3 linked regions of the Drosophila melanogaster genome follow. The protein of the gene in region 1 interacts with the protein of each later gene in a pairwise test. Each region holds a gene or a part of one and is shown on either strand. Other genes may lie near its edges.

The links. Proteins that work in one complex are often made in the same cells at the same time.
Region 2: the proteins of Vha68-2 (region 1) and lobo interact in a two-hybrid assay, tested with the Drosophila melanogaster proteins (one large-scale study listed by BioGRID).
Region 3: the proteins of Vha68-2 (region 1) and CG14442 interact in a two-hybrid assay, tested with the Drosophila melanogaster proteins (one large-scale study listed by BioGRID).

Annotation. Positions count from the first base shown.
Region 1 is NT_033779.5:12,972,441-12,979,147, forward strand, and holds Vha68-2 (vacuolar H[+] ATPase 68 kDa subunit 2), read left to right. Parts: upstream 1-1,881; 5' UTR 1,882-2,003; intron 2,004-2,181; exon of another isoform or gene 2,182-2,306; intron 2,307-2,745; exon of another isoform or gene 2,746-2,783; intron 2,784-2,961; exon of another isoform or gene 2,962-3,029; intron 3,030-3,173; 5' UTR 3,174-3,196; coding exon 3,197-3,272; intron 3,273-3,685; coding exon 3,686-4,383; intron 4,384-4,491; coding exon 4,492-5,469; intron 5,470-5,536; coding exon 5,537-5,629; 3' UTR 5,630-6,167; downstream 6,168-6,707. Other genes in the region: Vha68-3 (vacuolar H[+] ATPase 68kD subunit 3), read left to right, coding at 6,460-6,707. UniProt on the Drosophila melanogaster protein: Catalytic subunit of the V1 complex of vacuolar(H+)-ATPase (V-ATPase), a multisubunit enzyme composed of a peripheral complex (V1) that hydrolyzes ATP and a membrane integral complex (V0) that translocates protons.
Region 2 is NT_033777.3:25,190,747-25,195,748, reverse strand, and holds the start of lobo (lost boys), read left to right. Parts: upstream 1-1,972; 5' UTR 1,973-2,094; coding exon 2,095-2,511; intron 2,512-2,582; coding exon 2,583-2,711; intron 2,712-2,942; exon of another isoform or gene 2,943-3,464; coding exon of another isoform or gene 3,465-5,002. Other genes in the region: CG13653 (uncharacterized protein), read right to left, coding at 30-189; dan (distal antenna), read right to left, coding at 3,774-5,002. UniProt on the Drosophila melanogaster protein: Key component of the nexin-dynein regulatory complex (N-DRC), essential for N-DRC integrity. Involved in the regulation of flagellar motility. Involved in sperm motility. Required for the sperm to enter in the coiled storage seminal receptacle (SR) tubule.
Region 3 is NC_004354.4:6,688,972-6,696,589, forward strand, and holds CG14442 (uncharacterized protein), read right to left. Parts: upstream 6,031-7,618; 5' UTR 4,986-6,030; coding exon 3,432-4,985; intron 3,143-3,431; coding exon of another isoform or gene 3,107-3,142; exon of another isoform or gene 3,102-3,106; intron 3,048-3,101; exon of another isoform or gene 2,711-3,047; intron 2,384-2,710; coding exon 833-2,383; 3' UTR 325-832; downstream 1-324.

The sequences.
Region 1 (6,707 bases):
AGAATTGCATTTCTGTTTAATGAAATGGTCTAACAATCGAAGTTTTCGATGCTACAAGAATACATCTTAGAAGTTTTTCACACTAAAATGTTGCCAAAAATGCTGATTTCAATGCATACATATTTGTGATAAACACGACAAAGATTTTATCCAGGACACTGACATACTATGAAAAACACTGGAAAGTGGCCCAGGAATCGAGTGGATAAGGGTGCATATCCCAGTTTCGATGTGTCAAATTCATTCCACTTTGGCGCTCTGCACTCAGCAGAGTCAGTCGAGCACTTTTCTGCGCCATTTTGACACCGAATCAGAATCCGAAACACTCAGTCACTCAATCACTCACACACACACACTCTCACACACATACGCATACATCTGCAGTGAGGGGAATCCCCGTTCACAGGGCTGATAGAAATTTGCAATGAATCGCAGGCAGATCCTCATGCCACATGCACTGCTGCCTTATTATGCAAATGCTGCGACTCGAGATGCGCTCTCGCTGCCTGCCAACGTCATCGATTTATAAGTTATGCAAAGAGCGGGAGCCAGAACTCACACACCTACCCTCTGCCCCTGGCGTGTCCTTCGTATCCTTCGCATCTCGGGAACATAGAGGCTTTCGCTGTTCGACTTCTATGTTAGCATGGCTTTGCGTTGTAGTTGCCACTTTTGCTGACTGCAATCCGAAAATTTAGCTAAATCAAGCTGAGTGCAGCGACACTGAAAAAAAAACTAGCATGGACTCAAGAACTAAAATATTTAAATGAGGTTTTCTAGCCATATTATGATTTAAAAGAAGTACAATTATGTTGTTACACTCACATGTAAAATATCTAAGATAATAATATAATAAAAAACAAATTAAATGGTTAAGTTATATAAACATTAAACTTCTTATAAACATATAGTTTGGTTATGCGAATTTCTCAATATTTTCAATTAGCACATTCGTTTTCCTCTTTAAATAAGGAGAATCCACTTAAAGAAATCTGATAATCGCTGCATATTGTGCTATTTATTTTATGTTAAAAAAGTATATTCGCAAGAGCATAAAAACAATCTGATCGGGTTAATCTTAACTTTTTCGCTGCTCCATTCTCATTGATTACTACAGCACAAAAAAAAAGTGGGGAAAGCGTGGAATCCTAACTAGAAGAACGGAAGATAGAATAATGGATAAAAAACAAAGGGGCAGGGCAGCAAAAACTTAAATCATTGGCAAATACCTTTTTACGATGCGGATTTTAATCAAAGTTTTTGCCACCGCTGTCAGTTTCTTTTTTTTACTTAAAATGGTAATAAAAAAAAAAGGGGAAACGACGATAAATAAACATTTTAAAATAATTGCTAACGGCGTGTTGTTGCGCTTTAGTGAACTTATTAGTCTACCCTCGCACCGGCCAATTTCCACAATTGATTAGTTTAAAATTGCATTTTTTGGACATTTAAATGGGAATCTAATTGATTGCCATTTTTATTGAGAGCACTTAACACTATACAATGGCAGGTTTTGTATTTAAGCTATATATTCCTCGTTTATACAGTGTCAAATTAATTATTGATTTTATAAGCAGCTAAGAAAATGATTGTTTAATTTGGACCGATTGATCATCGAGGACTTAAAATGGACTTAAAATAATTGGATATTAGCAACTTTGAAAAGATCCCGTTTACTCCCAAAACTTCAGAATCAACCCACGAACTTCTTTAAGCCAGTGTGACCCCACCCGCTCTTTAGCTCTCTTTCGCTCCATCTCGCTTCCGCACATCGATTGGCGAAAGCTTCGCTCGCACTCGATATCAGCTCACAACTTCGCTTGCAAGCTCGCCGCGGAAAGCTCGCGATCACACGGGTCGAAATCGAAATCGAATCGCGGTAGAGAGCTTTTCGAAGTGCGAGCGTCGACGTTTTATTTCTGCGGCTCAGTCGGTTTTAGTTCGTTCTGTTGGAGAAAAGCAGCAATCACACGTTCGCAAGGTGAACGCGAAGACACAGCAAAGTAAGCCCTTCCCCCCCACCAACACACACACCCACCCAAAGCAAATAAGTAACAATAAATAATGGAATGGCTGGAAGACGGTTCTGGGCGATTTAAACAATTAGCGAAAGAAAGCGGCATTGAAATCCGTCTTGAATTCGCCCCGAAAAAGTGACGAAGCAGCGATCAAAGCGCAGAGCGAAAACACGCACACAGACTGCAAGTGTGTTAGATAATAAGTGCAGCACAAGTCCACACTTGAGTAAAATAATCCCTAAAAAAGCCGAATATCAATTAGTTTTCCAAGGAGCTTGAAAAAGTGCGGTATGAAAACGTGAAAATTTGCGCGTGGAAAATTATTTTGCCTTGTCAGCTGACCCCCTTCCCCGTGTTCGCTCCATCCCTGTCGCACCGCGGGTCTTGTGATCGCCGCCGCTCTTGCGCTCGCTTGCTCTCCCATTTCGAAACTCGAAACAGAAGTGGGAGTTATTCGTATTCCGATAATGAAAAACCAATATGGAGAACGAGCGACGTAAAAAAGGCGGCCCAAAGATTTTTACCATTTCCCTTACCCACTTTTTTTTCATTTGTCAGCTGACGGCAATGACAGTAGTCTTGTGATCAACGTCAAAAGCAATTGTCAAATATTCGAACTCGAATGGAGAGCGAGAGAGCCAGAGCGGAGAGTTGCTCTCCCACTCCACCCTCTCTTGTTTTTCTTTGCTGATAATTATGAAAACCCGCATATTTTGAAAAACATGCATTTCAGTTACATTCCTCCGTTGAATTTGTCAACCTGTGGTTGTTTTTTCACAGCTCTTATTTTATTTATTTAGCGATTAGTTTGACAAATTGCTCTCTTCGAACTTTCAAAGCTCTGTCACGTGAAACGAAAGCTCTGCTTTTAAAGTTTTACGCAGCATAATCAAAGAGGGGGAGTTAAAAAAAAAATAATTAAATCAATCGAAATTATTAGCTGCTAACCTACAACTTTATAACCTATAATCGAAAAATTTGGGAGCTGTGGGCTCTACAAAAACTTAACCTGTAAATGTAGCAGATACACCTGCCCCTTGTCAGCTGACAGAGGGCTGAGCAAGAAATTAGTGATAAGAAAATGTTCACCTTTATCTTCGCCCTTTTGCAGCCAGCATTTAACAATTTTCCTCTTCTATTTTCCCTCCATTGCAGTCGAAAAAACAGAATAAAGCAAAATGTCCAACCTTAAGCGTTTCGATGATGAGGAGCGTGAGTCCAAATATGGACGTGTCTTCGCTGTCTCCGGTCCTGGTAAGCACCTAACTATACTGACTAACCATAACTCATGCTATCTAAAAGTTAATAAAAATAAGTTAATAATACCTGTGAACTGGAAACCTTACTTTGATGATTAGTCTAGAACTTACACTTCTGTGTGAAATAATGGCAACTTTAGAAATGTGTCCACCTATTTGTGATTAATATTCAAACAACTCAAACATTTTGGTTTCATTATTCAAAATTAAATGTGAATAATTTTAATAATTAATTAATTGTTTCTTTAAACTTTTTTCTATAATTCTAACAAAAACATCATCAAGTATCATTAATAATAAAAAATTTTAAAAGAAAATGTTCAATGGAACCTATCTTCGTTTGCTGAGTTATAAAAACTTCTTGAATGAAATGTAGCCCCCCTAACCCGACCAACCGCTTCATTCCAGTCGTCACCGCCGAGGCCATGTCTGGATCAGCTATGTACGAGTTGGTCCGCGTCGGCTACTACGAGCTGGTGGGCGAGATCATCCGTCTGGAGGGTGACATGGCCACCATCCAGGTGTACGAGGAGACCTCTGGCGTAACTGTCGGAGATCCGGTGCTGCGTACCGGCAAGCCTCTTTCCGTGGAGCTGGGACCCGGTATCATGGGCAGCATCTTTGACGGTATCCAGCGTCCCCTGAAGGACATTAACGAGCTGACCGAATCCATCTACATCCCCAAGGGTGTGAACGTGCCCAGTTTGTCCCGCGTGGCCAGCTGGGAGTTCAACCCCCTGAACGTCAAGGTCGGCTCCCACATCACCGGAGGTGACCTGTACGGTCTGGTGCATGAGAACACTCTGGTCAAGCACAAGATGATTGTGAACCCCCGCGCCAAGGGAACAGTGCGCTACATCGCCCCCTCCGGCAACTACAAGGTCGACGATGTCGTCCTGGAGACCGAGTTCGATGGAGAGATCACCAAGCACACCATGTTGCAGGTGTGGCCAGTGCGTCAGCCACGTCCCGTGACCGAGAAGCTGCCCGCCAACCACCCCCTGCTCACCGGACAGCGTGTGCTCGACTCGCTCTTCCCCTGTGTCCAGGGCGGTACCACCGCCATTCCCGGAGCTTTCGGTTGCGGCAAGACTGTGATCTCGCAGGTGAGAGTCCCACAAATTGAGAATTTAAGGAGCGATGCCTCGTGTAGCCTCCATACACTCAAGTTTCATAAAAATACAATCCCTAATAAATCATTTACTTGCTTGCAGGCTCTGTCCAAGTACTCCAACTCCGATGTCATCATCTACGTCGGTTGCGGTGAGCGTGGTAACGAGATGTCTGAGGTACTGCGTGACTTCCCCGAGCTGTCCGTGGAGATCGACGGTGTCACCGAGTCCATCATGAAGCGTACCGCCCTTGTGGCCAACACCTCCAACATGCCTGTGGCTGCTCGTGAGGCCTCCATCTACACTGGTATCACCTTGTCCGAATACTTCCGTGATATGGGTTACAACGTGTCCATGATGGCTGATTCCACCTCCCGTTGGGCTGAGGCTCTTCGTGAAATTTCTGGTCGTCTCGCTGAGATGCCTGCCGATTCCGGCTACCCAGCCTACTTGGGAGCCCGTCTGGCCTCCTTCTACGAGCGTGCCGGTCGCGTTAAGTGCTTGGGTAACCCCGAGCGCGAGGGATCCGTGTCCATTGTCGGAGCTGTGTCTCCTCCTGGTGGTGACTTCTCCGATCCCGTGACCTCCGCCACTCTGGGTATCGTGCAGGTGTTCTGGGGTCTCGACAAGAAGTTGGCCCAGCGCAAGCACTTCCCCTCGATCAACTGGCTCATCTCCTACTCGAAGTACATGCGTGCTCTGGATGACTTCTATGACAAGAACTTCCCCGAATTCGTGCCGCTGCGTACCAAGGTCAAGGAGATCCTGCAGGAGGAGGAGGATCTGTCTGAGATCGTGCAACTGGTCGGCAAGGCCTCTCTGGCCGAAACCGACAAGATCACGCTGGAGGTGGCCAAGCTGCTGAAGGACGATTTCCTGCAGCAGAACTCCTACTCCTCGTACGATCGCTTCTGCCCCTTCTACAAGACCGTGGGCATGTTGAGGAACATCATCGACTTCTACGACATGGCCCGTCACTCCGTGGAGTCTACGGCTCAGTCTGAGAACAAGATCACCTGGAACGTGATTCGTGAGGCAATGGGCAACATTATGTACCAGCTGTCATCCATGAAGTTCAAGGTGGGTTAACACGCAAATTTATCCATTGCCTAGACACTGGGTGACCACATTTTTCAATCCATTTCAGGACCCCGTTAAGGATGGTGAGGCCAAGATCAAGGCTGACTTCGAGCAGCTGCACGAGGACCTGCAGCAGGCCTTCAGAAATCTGGAGGACTAGAGACCGCGCTGGCCCTACTTTTACACTCTAATCTTATATTTGTTATATAGTTAACGTTTAAAAATGAAAGCAGTCAAAAACCATCCGAAAAAGCCTAATCAAACACCAACAATTCCGTGCTGCATTCGATGAAAAACAAAAGTCCAACAAATACCACAACTTCTTGGTGCCTGCGAGAGATGTAAACATTCCGGCCTGCGGTTAATACTTTCCCCTAACCACGCCCCCTCCGCCCCTTGAAGGGCAACTCTAGGCAACAGCAACTACAACGTCCTGCTATGTACTTCCATTTACAACAACAACACCAACATACACTTGAATAAAAGTACACGGACACTGGCGCACACACAACACATACATAAAAGACACAAATACAAATGCATGCATAAATAGTATTATTGTTTAATGAATGGAAATTCTTGTTTATTTGTGAAAAAAGTCATGTTTTCTCCCTGTTTGTTTGTTAAATTTATGTAAATATTTAAAGTATGAAATATTAAATGTACGAATAAAGTGCAACAACAAATACATTTAATGTAATTGAAAGTGAATTTCACTGGCAGCAGAATGGATATTAAAAATGTGTCAACTCGATAAAAAGATAATAAGTTAAAATATTTTTTTGAATTTTAAACCTTCATTATATAAACATACTTGACTATATGAAAGCTAAGAAAATGGGAATATATTGAAAAGCATAATCTAAAATCCTATATCATTCTCAGTCATCACCTTAGTCTTTCCATAAACTTCTGCCCCATTTATTTTATTTATTTGACAATATTAGTAAAAATTGTACCAAGTGAAAAAATTGTATATATTTAAACCAAATGGAAAAGAAGTCCTGGGTTGCACCGCTTACCTCGTTCACCAACAGTAACGCAAGTAACGAAGACAGAGCCCGCAACTCGGGATCGTTAAACCAAGATGGGGAGCCAAGGTCCGTGCCTCACCCAACGGTTCCGGCTAAGAAGTGCACATGTCCAACCTGCGCTTGCCAACGTAATGACCATAAATCCAATCCGGTACCCCCTCCCCCTCAATCACGCAAGCCTGTAGCCGAGCCGGAAAGTCCCCA
Region 2 (5,002 bases), on another chromosome or scaffold:
AATGAGCTTTAATCTAAGTCGCAACCCACCTTTTTCTTGGCTTAGTCCGAGTGTGTTCTTGAAGACGCCCCAATCGTCCTTGGGCCCAGTCTTGGCTGGATTCTTCTCCGCGCTCTTGATGTAGAGAGCCAGGCAGCTTTGCTGGATGGCCGCCAGCAAAATCAGAATGATAGCTTTTCCCAACTGCATCTTCAGATCGATGTGCTTCGTTCGGTGGTTGTGGCGAATGTGATGTCCTGTGCTCCTGCGTAGCTACCCTTATATACCTCGATCCTTTCGGACTGATCCGCATCCGCGTTAATTGACATAACCGCACATCAGCGTTGCGTGGCTGCGATAATCAGACAATGGCTGCAAAGGCGCTTGACACTCGAGACATCCGGGGCGCCTGCGCAAGGACCACTTTTGGCCAAGGAGTCAGCCCAGGACGACATGTGCTTGATTGAACCTCCGACGCGCAGCGCCTGCCTTTGTTTTTCTAGGGAACACTTAGCGCGAGCCGCGGCAATTAAACGGCAAACTGAGCGCACACAAAAATTAGTGCTTACGCATCTTGCCTCAGACGGCGGCCAGGTAGACCGCGTCCAGTCCTCAGTCCTTGCCACAGGACCAAGCTGGACGAGGCAGAGCAAGGCGACACCCAACGACAGGCGACTACTAGCGGCCAATGTGGGAATCAAAGTGCGTAATTGAGTCGCTTAAAAGCGCCAAATGGTTTCATGAATGTACCGCTCTCACCAGGCTCACCAGGTAGACGCTCGCCTTTCAAATGCGAAAGGAAGTACAAATAAATCCTAGCGCCAGCCATAAACGGATCAACTGCGCCGATCTCAATCCGCTGGTCTCCGCTCCTGCTCATCGACAAGTTCTGCGCTCGCTAATTATTCCTGAATGCGGGTTTTATTGATGCAATATAAATAATGCAAATGCAATTTGTGGTGCATGCAGACAAGGGGGTGGTCCCTAAAAAATGTGCCATCTAAGTAAGCCATTGCCACTGTCGCTGCCACTGCAGCTGCGGAAGACCAGCATTGAGTTTTCGACGGGTAATTATGTAATATGCATAATGACAATAAATAAAGTTAGTCGAAATATACATATGTATGTATGTAGGTAACCAGGGAAAAGATTAGGTTGAATGTGGAATTAGCTTTATTTAAATTAAATCAACAAAAAATGCACAAGGTGAAGAAGTAGTTCTATATATTATATCAATTTTTCACATTTAAAATATGTGACTTGTCATACAATTTACCAAATATTTATAAGTAGGGAAGTTTTGTGCCTTCTGTGCTATAATACAAATATAACTTTGATACATTCCATCAAATTTTATAGAAAATAGCTATTGAAAAAATAGCTAATTGAAAATGACTAGCGAAATGAATGGAAATTAAATAGTTTTTTATTTTCTTAAAATATAGCTATGCCTTAATATTCAAGGCTAAAAAGCAGTAGGTAATCAATCGTTCAAGGGCTTACCTACTATTTTAAAAATACTAATGTCAATTTTAAAGTTATTCTCTTCATGACATGAAGCTTACTACTATTCTTTTGCTAAAAGGTGATGGCCATATGCTATTCACAACCTGCTTGCTCTATTTTAAAAATGTTCGTTACAAAAAGACTTTTGGGTAAAATTGTTACCCTACTTCAATTTTACATGTAGACACTTAACCGAGAAAAAAGCAGTAGAAATTGATATACGAAGCAGGGTAAAGAAGTTCAAATCTAATGCCAAAGCAGTTACAAACCAGTACAACGGTTATTTAGCCCAGACGCAAACCAGAATCAGGAAGTAAAGTAATGTAAAGTAAAGTTTTCAACCGGAAGAAGGAAATGTTCGTTCTTATAAGAAGTTATTTCAAGCGAAACCCACACAAAACTAATTAGAATTACGAAAGTTTTTTAAGCAAATTACAATTTTTATATATTTTATTTGCTACAATGAACAGACTAGCACAACACAATACATATTTCAATTTCTGTCACATCTAGCCGTTAAAATATATATTTTTCTACAAACACCGTAGTTATAGAAACGAAGTTTCTTGTTTATTATTTTAAAGAGCCGGCAATTGTAACCACGCCAAAATGCCGAAAGTACTGTTTCAGAAGTACAAGAAGGTGGTGAGCAACATCGACCCGAGTCGCTATAGCGCCAAGTTCAAGGAAATCGACGAGCAGAGGCGCTCGCAAGGTTCGGAATCGGATTTTGCAGATGAAATGGAGGGCGAGTTCGAGGCGGAAATGGAGGAAATGGGATCTAGTGAATTTAGTTTATCCGAAGGAGAACCATCGCTCAATATCGGAAAGATCGATTTATCCTTTCCCGAAACAGTCGAGGAGTTCGAAAACAGTCCCCAGTGCTATCCTCCATCGTACTATACCCTCTCGCCCAAGGAGCGGTTGCTCCTGCTGTACGCTGAGAATTTCCGGAAGCAATTGGTTCTCAGCTACCCAAAGAGACGAGCCATGGTCTTGGCCCTGCCCAACGAATGCAAAGTACAGGTGAAGTCAGCACCATCTGCTCCTTTAGTGGCCAGCGTTTTGATAAATTGCCACTCTTAACCAACTTACAGAAATTCGTTTGCACCACCATCAGGCCAACGGCGTTTATTTACACGCAACTCATATCAAGTGTCGAGGAAATTGCCAAGTTTGTCGCCGATTTCATTCAGTATGAGCCACTGCAGGATCCCATAAATTTGGTAAGTCTATTATGGCAAAGTTGAACCAATCACATATCCATTATTCTTATGTTCCGAGCTCATGTAGCAATATATTTAAAAGTTTATGCGTTCTAAAATGTTCAATAACTTGACCAAGGCAATTTATACTTGTAAATATAAAAGTAAAACATTTAGGTATTTTAGTAGATATATATGAAAAACCACTTAGACCCTCCAATACGACAGCGGTAAGTAAATACGACGACAGTTCTAAGAGTTTCATAAAAATTATCTAATTATTTTTTATTGAACATGTATTTAAAATTACATTTAAATTTGTAAATGTTTTTATTTAAATATCGCATTAATTCCGAATTAAGAAAATTCTTTTGAGCACATTTCCATAGTTATTAATATACGAAATTTAAAAACGTTTGATATCAAATGCATGCCATTCGCGCCAACACACCTTGCAGTTCGAAAAGTATTTTTTCTTTTTCGTAACAAAAACTAAGGGCTATAACATTTTTCTAGAATGCATCATTGGGTGAAAAAACAAACTAACAAAACAGAGTCGGTTGTCTTTCCGTTCAAAAAGAAATGCATAATAGCTACAAATAGAGTTTCTCGATATATACACGTTAACCGTACGATTAATTAATTAATACAATGCAATGCAATGCAATGGAGTGGATTCGAATTGAATTGAAAGATACTGAAAGTATGCTCGATAGGTTTCACAGCTAGGAGATAAATTCAGTGGAGTCCTCCGGATGCGTGGAACCATGTGGTCTAACTGCTGGAGCTCAGTTCGTCGTACTGCTGGTACTCGCCCGTGATCTGGCAGTCGTCGGGGTCATCGTCGAGGTCACAATGTACAAATTCGTAGGGAGGGAAGAACAGGGAGCTGAGTAGGGTGGCCGACGATCGGTAGACGGCCGGCGCATAGACATGGCACCTCGTCGAGCCCTCGGCGGTATCTGCATTTGCATCTGTAGCCAGGACACCGGGTCCTGGCTCTGCATCGTGCAGAGCACCGTCTGGGCTATCCTCTATCTCTGTATCCGTGGCTGGCTCCGTGGGCGCCAACTTTGGCTTTTCCTATTTGCGACGGCGACTCTTGCCCCGCCCACTGCCCTCCTCCTCCGCGGCGTGCTCCTCGCTGTCCTCCGGCAAAGCGGATTTCTCGATCATCGGTGTCTCGTTGCCCGACTTGATGGCGGCTATTAGGAAACGAAGTTGCATCAGCTGCACGGCCGTCACGCGGGGATTGCTGCAATTCTCCAGCCACTGCAGGAACTTTTCGCCATGGCGGATGGCCTCGATATCCTCGTCCGCCGTGCAGTCCAGATACTTGGCCTTCTCCTCCTCGTCCGTTTTGTTTGAGTTATTATTGTTATTGTTATTGCTGGCGCTCACATCGTTGTTGTTCGTATGCGGATTGCTGGTGTCCTGGAAGCTGCCCTCCGATTCGGAGGATCCCTGTTCCGGCATCAACGGACCAGTGGCCTCCATTCCGCCCATCTTGAAGAGCATATTGTCTAGGATCTTCTTGCATTCGCTTGTGGAATTCGTGGTCTCTGGGGTTTTGGTCTTCGCCTTTGGTTCGGGACTCCTGCTGCCTGATGAATGGGCAATGGGACTTTGCGAAGGGGTCATCACTTTGCCGGCGGCTGAGAGATCCTCCGGTTTCCCGGATGCCTCCGGCTCCACTTCGCCATCGAGATCGGTTTCGGTGGCCTCGTCAGCCTCGGGATTCTGTTCGTTGGAGGACAAACTTCTCACCGACGGCGTCTCAGTCTCTTTCGTGAGATGGGAGTACAGTATGTTCGAGGGATCTCCCATGGATCCCCCCTCTGCGGCCGTGGTGGCCACCTGCTGCTGCAGTTGGTTGGCTTGCAGGGCGGCCAAGGTGGCGGCATTGGGATTCAGGGTATGCAGACTGGCACCGAACGCCTTGCACCAGTTGTACCACGCCGCGTTCTTCTCGTCCAGACTGCCCGACGGTGTGGACGAGGGTGTTAGCGGAGCCGAGGGTATCGGCGGAGTCTGTGCCAACTGACTCATGTGCTGCGGCGTGGAAGATCTGATAGGGGGACTGGTCACGCCCATGGGAATTGTGGGCGGATAAAGGGGATTCAGACCCAACATGGTCTGCTGCGACTTGAGCCAGTAGAGCAAGGGATCTTCGGCCAGATTGGAGAGCGTCATGGGCCCGCCCATTTGCGAAGGAGCAATCGAAGGACTGGGACTCTTGATATCGCCTCCCTTGCCCTCGTTCTTGATGCTCAGATTGAGGCTGCCCTGGCCCTCCCCCGGCTTCTGTTTGG
Region 3 (7,618 bases), on another chromosome or scaffold:
GAAAAAATATGAACACATTTTTAAAAAGTTAATTATGATTTTTATACAGATCCTCCAGAGCTTTTCCATCACCTGCACGCTGACAACCACTACCGTAATGAGTAGGAATAGAAAGAAAGAAAGGCTGCCTTTGGAAAAAATTTCCAGCGGATGTGGTGCGCGTCATGCGCGTCATGTGCGCGCCAGACGTGCAACATGCAAAAACACGTTCGCCTCTGCATTTGCTATCGATAACCGATAGCCACTGGCTGACCACACATACATCCCATACACCGCTGCCATTGACCGTTTTGTTTCGATCTTATTAGATTTATTTGTTATTTTGGGTTTTTTTTTTGCTTTTTTTTTGCTAATTTAAAAAATTAATAGTTAATACATACAACTACTTAGTGCTCTGTTTACGCGCTACATATTCTGGATTAGGTTTAGTTGGATCTCCACCATCGATCGTAGTTATCTTTTTATTTTAGCTGCATTTCTTCGATTTTCAGTGGCTTTCGGGGCGTCACAGTGTTTCATTTCATTTAGCTTTCTGGGTTTCCGGTGGACTTTTGTGCCTGCCAGGCATCCGTATTGCACTTGATCCTTGATCTCCGCTTACTCTGACTTTTTACAAAATCTACCATTGAAGTACATTAACACTTTAAAAAACAGATTAAAAAAAAATATACGCTTATTGATAACTATAGACAATCCCTACTGTTCGCAGATATCTCCATCGTTTGTGCGTCCAACGCCTGATATTCCGGCGGAAATGGAGGCCTGGCTAGCACGTCATCCACACATATCCCTTCTAGCGATTGGTGCTGCGACTGTGACGCCTCCGCGAACCTCATTTGGTCTTCATCACAATGATTGGCTCGAGTATCTTTAGCATGTCATTGTTTTCGGGTGCTCCCGTTCCACTGCCGCCGCCAGAACCAGCAGCTCCTCCTCCGCCTCCACCGCCGGCTGCATTTGCATAATCCTTGACCGTCTGCAGTTTACTGAAGCCAGGATGCTGCTGCTGATGGAGCTGCTGCTGCTGGTGCTGACTGATGGTCACCAGGCGGTGCTGCTGGTTCAACACAATCGCCTCGTGATGCGGATGCGGCACCAAATGTTGCTGCTGAAGGCTGCCGGCAATCTGCTGCAGCTCATGCTGCTGCAATTGCAGCGCCGGCAACTGTTCGTGATCGTTGGAGCCATCGCCACCGCCCAATGGTGAATCGTCGTTGTCGGCCTTCACCACCGAAACGAAGCCACCATCACTGCCCGTGCCAGTGACCGAAACGGCTTCACTTTCGTACATATGATGCTCGGCACTGGTGTCATCGTCCTGGCACTCATCTTCTTCCTCGGTTTTGGCACGGAACTCGGTGCTGGTGGCGCTGCTGCTGCGCGGCGTGTGGCTGCGCATGCGTCGCATTCGCGCATATTCCGCCTGCTTGGACAGTCGCTCCTTGCGCTCGTCCGTATTCTCGGTGGCTCGGATCTGGGCCCGCTTCAGTCGTGCCCGTTCGCTCAGCTTCTGTAGACGCGTGGCCCGCTGCTCGGGCGTCTCATTGGCACGCACCGCTCGCTGGTGTGCGGCCATCTTGTCCAAACGTATTCGCTTCTCCTCCTCCGTCTCGTATTTGTTAGCACCGCTGCGTCGCGGCGTCAACACTGGCGTTCGACTGTCGCCATCGGCCGTGGAATGTACATGAATCTGGCTGAGCTCCTGATGATGTTGCTGCGATGCCTGCGACAGTGGCCTGCCGCGACGCGGCGTACTGGTGGCCAGCTGCGGTGCGGACAGCATCTGATTGAGCTCCTGCTCCAGCAGACTGTTCACCTTTAGCTGCTCCTCGCTGGGCAACGGATTCTTTCGCGGCCTGCCCCTGCCAACAGGTGTGGTCACAATTTGTGGCGCCGCCGCCGACGACGCGCCTGTCTGTTGTTGCTCCTGCTGTCCCAATCCAGTGACCGTTAGCGTTGGATTCGCCGCCAGTATGTTATACTGTCCGGGACTATTGCCACCACTGGCGTTGGCAAAGTTGACGGGCGTAAACGGCGGCGGCACTGCATTCGGCCCGATGCCAATCTGGAAGCCATTGTGGTACATTGGATAGTAGGCGGTGGTGGTTGTACCGCCGGCGCCCGTTGTTGTACCCGCCGTTACCACGCCCACGTGTCCGACATTGGTGGTACTGGTGGTGCTGTTGCCGCTGCTGGTGGTGTTAGGGAAGGTGGCCAGGTAGGGGAATTGATTATACAGCTGCTGCGCCTGGCCGGGCGTCGCCTTAAGCAGCTTCTGTTCCCCGCTGGCCGTCGTCACGATCACCTTGGTCTCGTTGTGGCCGAGGCTAACAGACCCGCTGTTATCATTGCCGCCCGCTGATACCGTAGCATCGTTGTCCGACTGCAAGAAGGGATAGAAGGGATTGGCAAGCCAACGGGTGAGTCGGTTTGATTCTGCGGGTTATGGGACTATCGGTTTGGAATTCTGGTATAAATCTTAATCTTCGCAATCACAGCAATCTTCGGTAATTGAATTTTACAAATCATTGCAACCTAATTTCGTAATTTGAGTGATAAGATTGATTGATGTGATTGAAGGTGGTCTTATAGATTGGTTTTCGAAAAGAACCGAGTGCGAGTGATAGAGCGAAAGGGATAGATGGAGGACACACACACACACACACACGAACGCACACCTGTACAAGGGAATTAAAACCACTTTTTGTTTGTTTCTGGTTGGTAAAAGTATTTTGTTCTTAGGTTCAAGATTTACATTGCTACATATATCTACACTCTATACGATTGATTAATTCATTTGCTTCTGACCAAAAAAAAGAACTAACACAAGTAATATGAACAACGAACAATAATGTTAACTGAAATAAACTTATACGATTTTCGCTTTTGATCAAAAGAGGAGTTAAAATGCGGGTAAGGCAACGCGCAAAAAAAAAGAGAGGTCCATTGGCCGCTTCTTCTGCCAATTTCCATTGAATTCTATATATTTTCAAAATTCCTACTTTCCGGTTTCAAGCATTTTCCTTTGAGGCAGTTGATTTCGCCAACTGCAAGGAAAATATTTGAAATTTACGAGTATTGGCAATTGTTTGATATTTTACCAGCGCTACGAATTTGTATTCGATTCCAAATTCCTCTGCAACTGTAAAAATCATTTATTGTTATTATTCAGGAATCAAGCTAAATTAGGCTAATCATGTTTTGATTTTACGTTTACTGGAAGTAGATAGTGCCCTTTTTTTCTAATACCGATTAGATTTCAAATAAATAGTGTTTCTAGATAACAAATTACATTGATGGATTCATGGGCAAGATGAGGTTCCTGGAGGATGCCAAACTTTAGTTTTGCTGCGTTACTTTGTGTGTGTGTGCGTGATTTAGTTGCTATCGCCGATCATTCTTGCTATCTACTACGCCTACTGCATACGCACCTGAAGTTCCTGCTTCTTGGCAGCATATTTGTGCGGGTAGAGTTCCAGCTGGCCACCGGCGATGCTGAAGTGCGGCACATGGGCCTGGAGCAGCTTTGCGGTGCCCTTGCCACCCTCATCGCCATAGATCTGCTGCACAAAGATGCTGCCCGGCTCGGTGCCCTCGAGCAGAGCAGCCGTAACCTGTTGCTGCTGCTGTCCGGTGATGGTGTATCGCTGATGCTGCTGCTGCAGCTGCTGCTGTGTAATCTGCTGCTGCTGCGGCGTCTGTGGCTCCTGCTTCAGTTGCATGGGTGGACGTAGGGAGCCGGGCGCCAGAAACATGCCCTGTCCCATATACTCCACTCCGGCCAGGGCCTGGTGTTGCTGATAGGCGGCTGCTGTCACCAGATGCTGCTGATCCTCCGCGGGCTGCGGGGTGCCTGCCTCGTCCGTTGTCGTCGTCGTCGCTGTGGTGGTCGCCTGGTTTAGATTGATAGTGTGTTCGTTAGTACAATTGGCTGCCGCCGCTGCTGCGGCTGCTGCTGCAACAGCCAGCACCTGCTGCTGTTGTTGCTGCTGCTGTTGTTGCTGCTGTTGCTGCTGCTGCTGCTGGTGGTGGTGCTGCTGGTCCGTTGACGACGAGGAGGATGTCGGCGTTGAGACGACCACCGACGACGAACCACCGTGCACCACAACATGCTTCAGTACCTTCTTCTTTTCTCTGACCTTTTTGGCATAATCGTTCAGCTTTCTCAGTCTTTCCTTCCGCTCCTCCGGTGACTCATTGGCGATCCTTTGGCGCGCCCTTGCCGCCATTTCTGCCAGCCGGAGCTTTCGCTGATCGTTCGTCTCGCTGGCGCGATACATGCGCATCCTTTCGGCCAATTTGGCCAGCCGTTTGGCCCTCTGGTCCGGCGACTCCATGGCCCGGCGTAGCCGTTGCCTGGCCGCATTCCTCACTAGCCGCATGGCCCGCTCTATGTCGGATTCATTCTGGCGTCTCTGGCGATTGGCTTCTGCATTCCGGAGTAGTCGCTTGCGATACTCCTCCTCGCTCTCGCGCTGCCGGCGTTCCCGCATCCTTTCAGCATTTCTGGCCAGACGGCGCTGGCGTGCCTCGGGGCTCTCGTTCCACCTCTGCTGGTGGCCAGTGGTGGAGGCACCTGTTATGGATGCGGAACTGGCACTGCTGGTGGGTCCCAATGGAGTGGGTGGCTGCTGCGATTGCTGCTGCTGCAATTGCTGTTGCTTCAGTGGTGCATAAAGCTGGAGATGCTGTTGCTGGAACTGCAGTTGATCCTGTTGCTGCTGGTGAAGATGTTGCTGCTGGAACTGTTGCTGTTGTTGCTGATGCTGCTGCTGCTGTTGTTGATGTTGCTGCTGTACGTGCTGCTGCTGTTGTTGCTGCTGTTGCAATTGCAGCTGGTGATGCGAGGAGAGTGGTACCAACAAAGCTGAGGGATGCTCGATGAGCAGGCGGGCATTGGAGCCATTGATGGCCAGCACATGGGTGGCGTACTGCTGCTGATCAAGTGAGGGCTCTATTTTTATCCCATTGGGATCTGGTTCCATTCTTGGTCAAAAGCCGGGGCAACAACAATCGAAATTGTCGTCTATCGGGGCTCCAAAAGTGTACTGTTTGTTATGTATATATATATATTTATATATATATTTATAGATATATATCTATATATGTGTATATAGACGATGGGTATTTGGTTATCGAAAGGATGAGCGCAGTCCTTCCGATTGTTTCGATAACATCTAGGGGCCGCGCTCTTGCTCGCCCCCTCTCTTTCGCACGCTCTGGGCCGTCTCCCGCTCTTTTTTTCGTCCGCTGCTCCTTGGCGTTTCCTCTTTGTGTTTGTTTTGTTTCGCTTTTTGCTTACTAGTAGTTATATAAAGAATATGTGTGTGCTGGCGCCGTTTCTCTCTCGCACTCTATTTTTGCGGCGATCACTCCGCTATTGTTATTGTGGTCCTCGGGCATTTCTTTCGTTCCCTTTTTGGCTATGAGCGGTATTCTTCTTCTCCATTTTTAGCATTATGCACTTTATTACCGTTCGTATTTGGCCATTACAATTTTTCGTGCGTTTTCATAAAAGCGTGCTTCTTCTTGCGAGTCAGTGACAATTGGCGCCGCCGCCGCGCTGCTTCTGCGCTGCCAATCGATTTTTCACATGATTATACACACACACCCATGCAGCCGCCGTCCGCACACACAAGCACGCACTGCTAAACACACACACACACACGCGCAACGAAGCAATACGCAACGTACGTGTGTGCGAGTTTTTTTCCGCTCCTTATTTTGCTTTTTGCACAAACCTTAACCCTTTGATTTGTAATTCCATTTATTCGCCGTGCTGCGGTGCATCCAGGCGCCTTTTCTCTTGGTGGGTTAAAAGGATGTTCTGTGGCGGCGCAGCGTTAACTTAACTACCGGGAATTTTCCACATAGCTGGGACCAGCGTATATCTGCCACTTCCGATCGCACCGTAATGTCATTAACTTGAAGTATGCGTACTTGTTCGCAATCCGTGGTACTGTATCTTTAATTTAATTTAATTCATCTTATTTCAGTTGTTTTCATTTCAACAATCGTTCTGTTCACAGTAGGGATGGTAAAAAGTATCGATACATCGATAGTTGAGCAGGCTGTCGATTCATTGGAAAATGCAACTGATTAACCGATGTTCCGCTTGAAATATCGCCCGGGTTTATTTTACAATTTGGAAATTAGTCTTGCAGGCAGATAATATTTATATTATTATTTGGCTGCAGTTTTGCAGTACCATATTACAGAATATATGTACTATTTTTCCATACTTAATGTTATAGTTAGATCAGCTTGTCGATAGCTTGATGTTTGAAATCGATTTTTTAAAAATCAAGCGTAACGTCAAGACATGGATAATTCTATTTCAATTGTAACAAATTTTCGCCTCTTGGCCACACTGTTTTAAAGCTTACTTTACATAACAATCAACTATGTTATGTTATGTTAACAGGGCATTAACATTCCAAAGCTTTCAAATCTTTTTGAAATGAATAAATGCGATTTATAAAAGTGAATTAAACTATTTATATAAAATTAGAAACTATATTATTTCCAATAAGAGCATTTCGTTGATAATCGTAGATAATCGTATATATAATAGGATTAGTTCAGTAGCATGTGCTGAATGGAGTTTGTAAATTATTTATATTTTATATTTAAATGTATTTTAGATGGGAGTTTTTAATTTGTTTAATTGCTGTGATACTTAAATGTACAACAAGCATACGGATGGCGATCCTGAGAATGGGACCCACCCTTCAGGTTCATCGAGGACATTCTGTCAGATTTGAAGGAAATTTTCAAAATTGTAGTGTTATTATCAACCATTCCTGATCATTTCCGGTTGATAACGCTTTTACTTTTTTTTAGATTATCACTATTCCCTATTAAATTCCCACCAAAGCTCAGAACGCAGCATTTAAAAATTGTGAATGCAACTTTATTCAAGTATATTCATTTTGTTATTCTCGTTTTTTTTCGCTTATATTTTTCTGTTTCTGTTTTCACTTTCTTGGTGTTGTGTTTTGTTTGTTGATTTTTCTTGTTGTGTGTTGTCATTGTTAGTGTACACGAATATTACAATACACAAAAATGTATCTCAATCTTATGTCTTAAGGCAAAAAACAATTGATAAACGTATTTAGACAGGAGAAAAACAATTTGAAATTTCGACTAGAACTTAATGGTTACACTTTATTAATAATAATTAGCATAATATATATATATACATATGTATATATATGTATATATAAATATATATCATGTATATATCATGTGGGCCCGCGCGGAAGGACATGGGCGTGGGAAGAGGCTGAGGATATGGATAAGGATAAGGTCTAGGAAAAGTGGGCGGTTGGATGTTGGCTGGGGAAGGGAGGAAGGATTGCGTGCTTTAACAAATATTGCGTTATGTGCCTGGCTACGGATCATGTGTGTATGCTCCAACTATATATGTATATATATATATATATATATATAAATTTGTATATATACATATATTTATGTGGGAGCTGCCGAGTGTGTGTATATTATCCTTATGTGAGTGGCGCTGTCCGTTTTGGGTTACATGCCTTTACCAACTTACACACACATATGGGGGTTGTTCGTCACTAGGGTGCCTCAGTTGTTGTGGAAAAATACGATT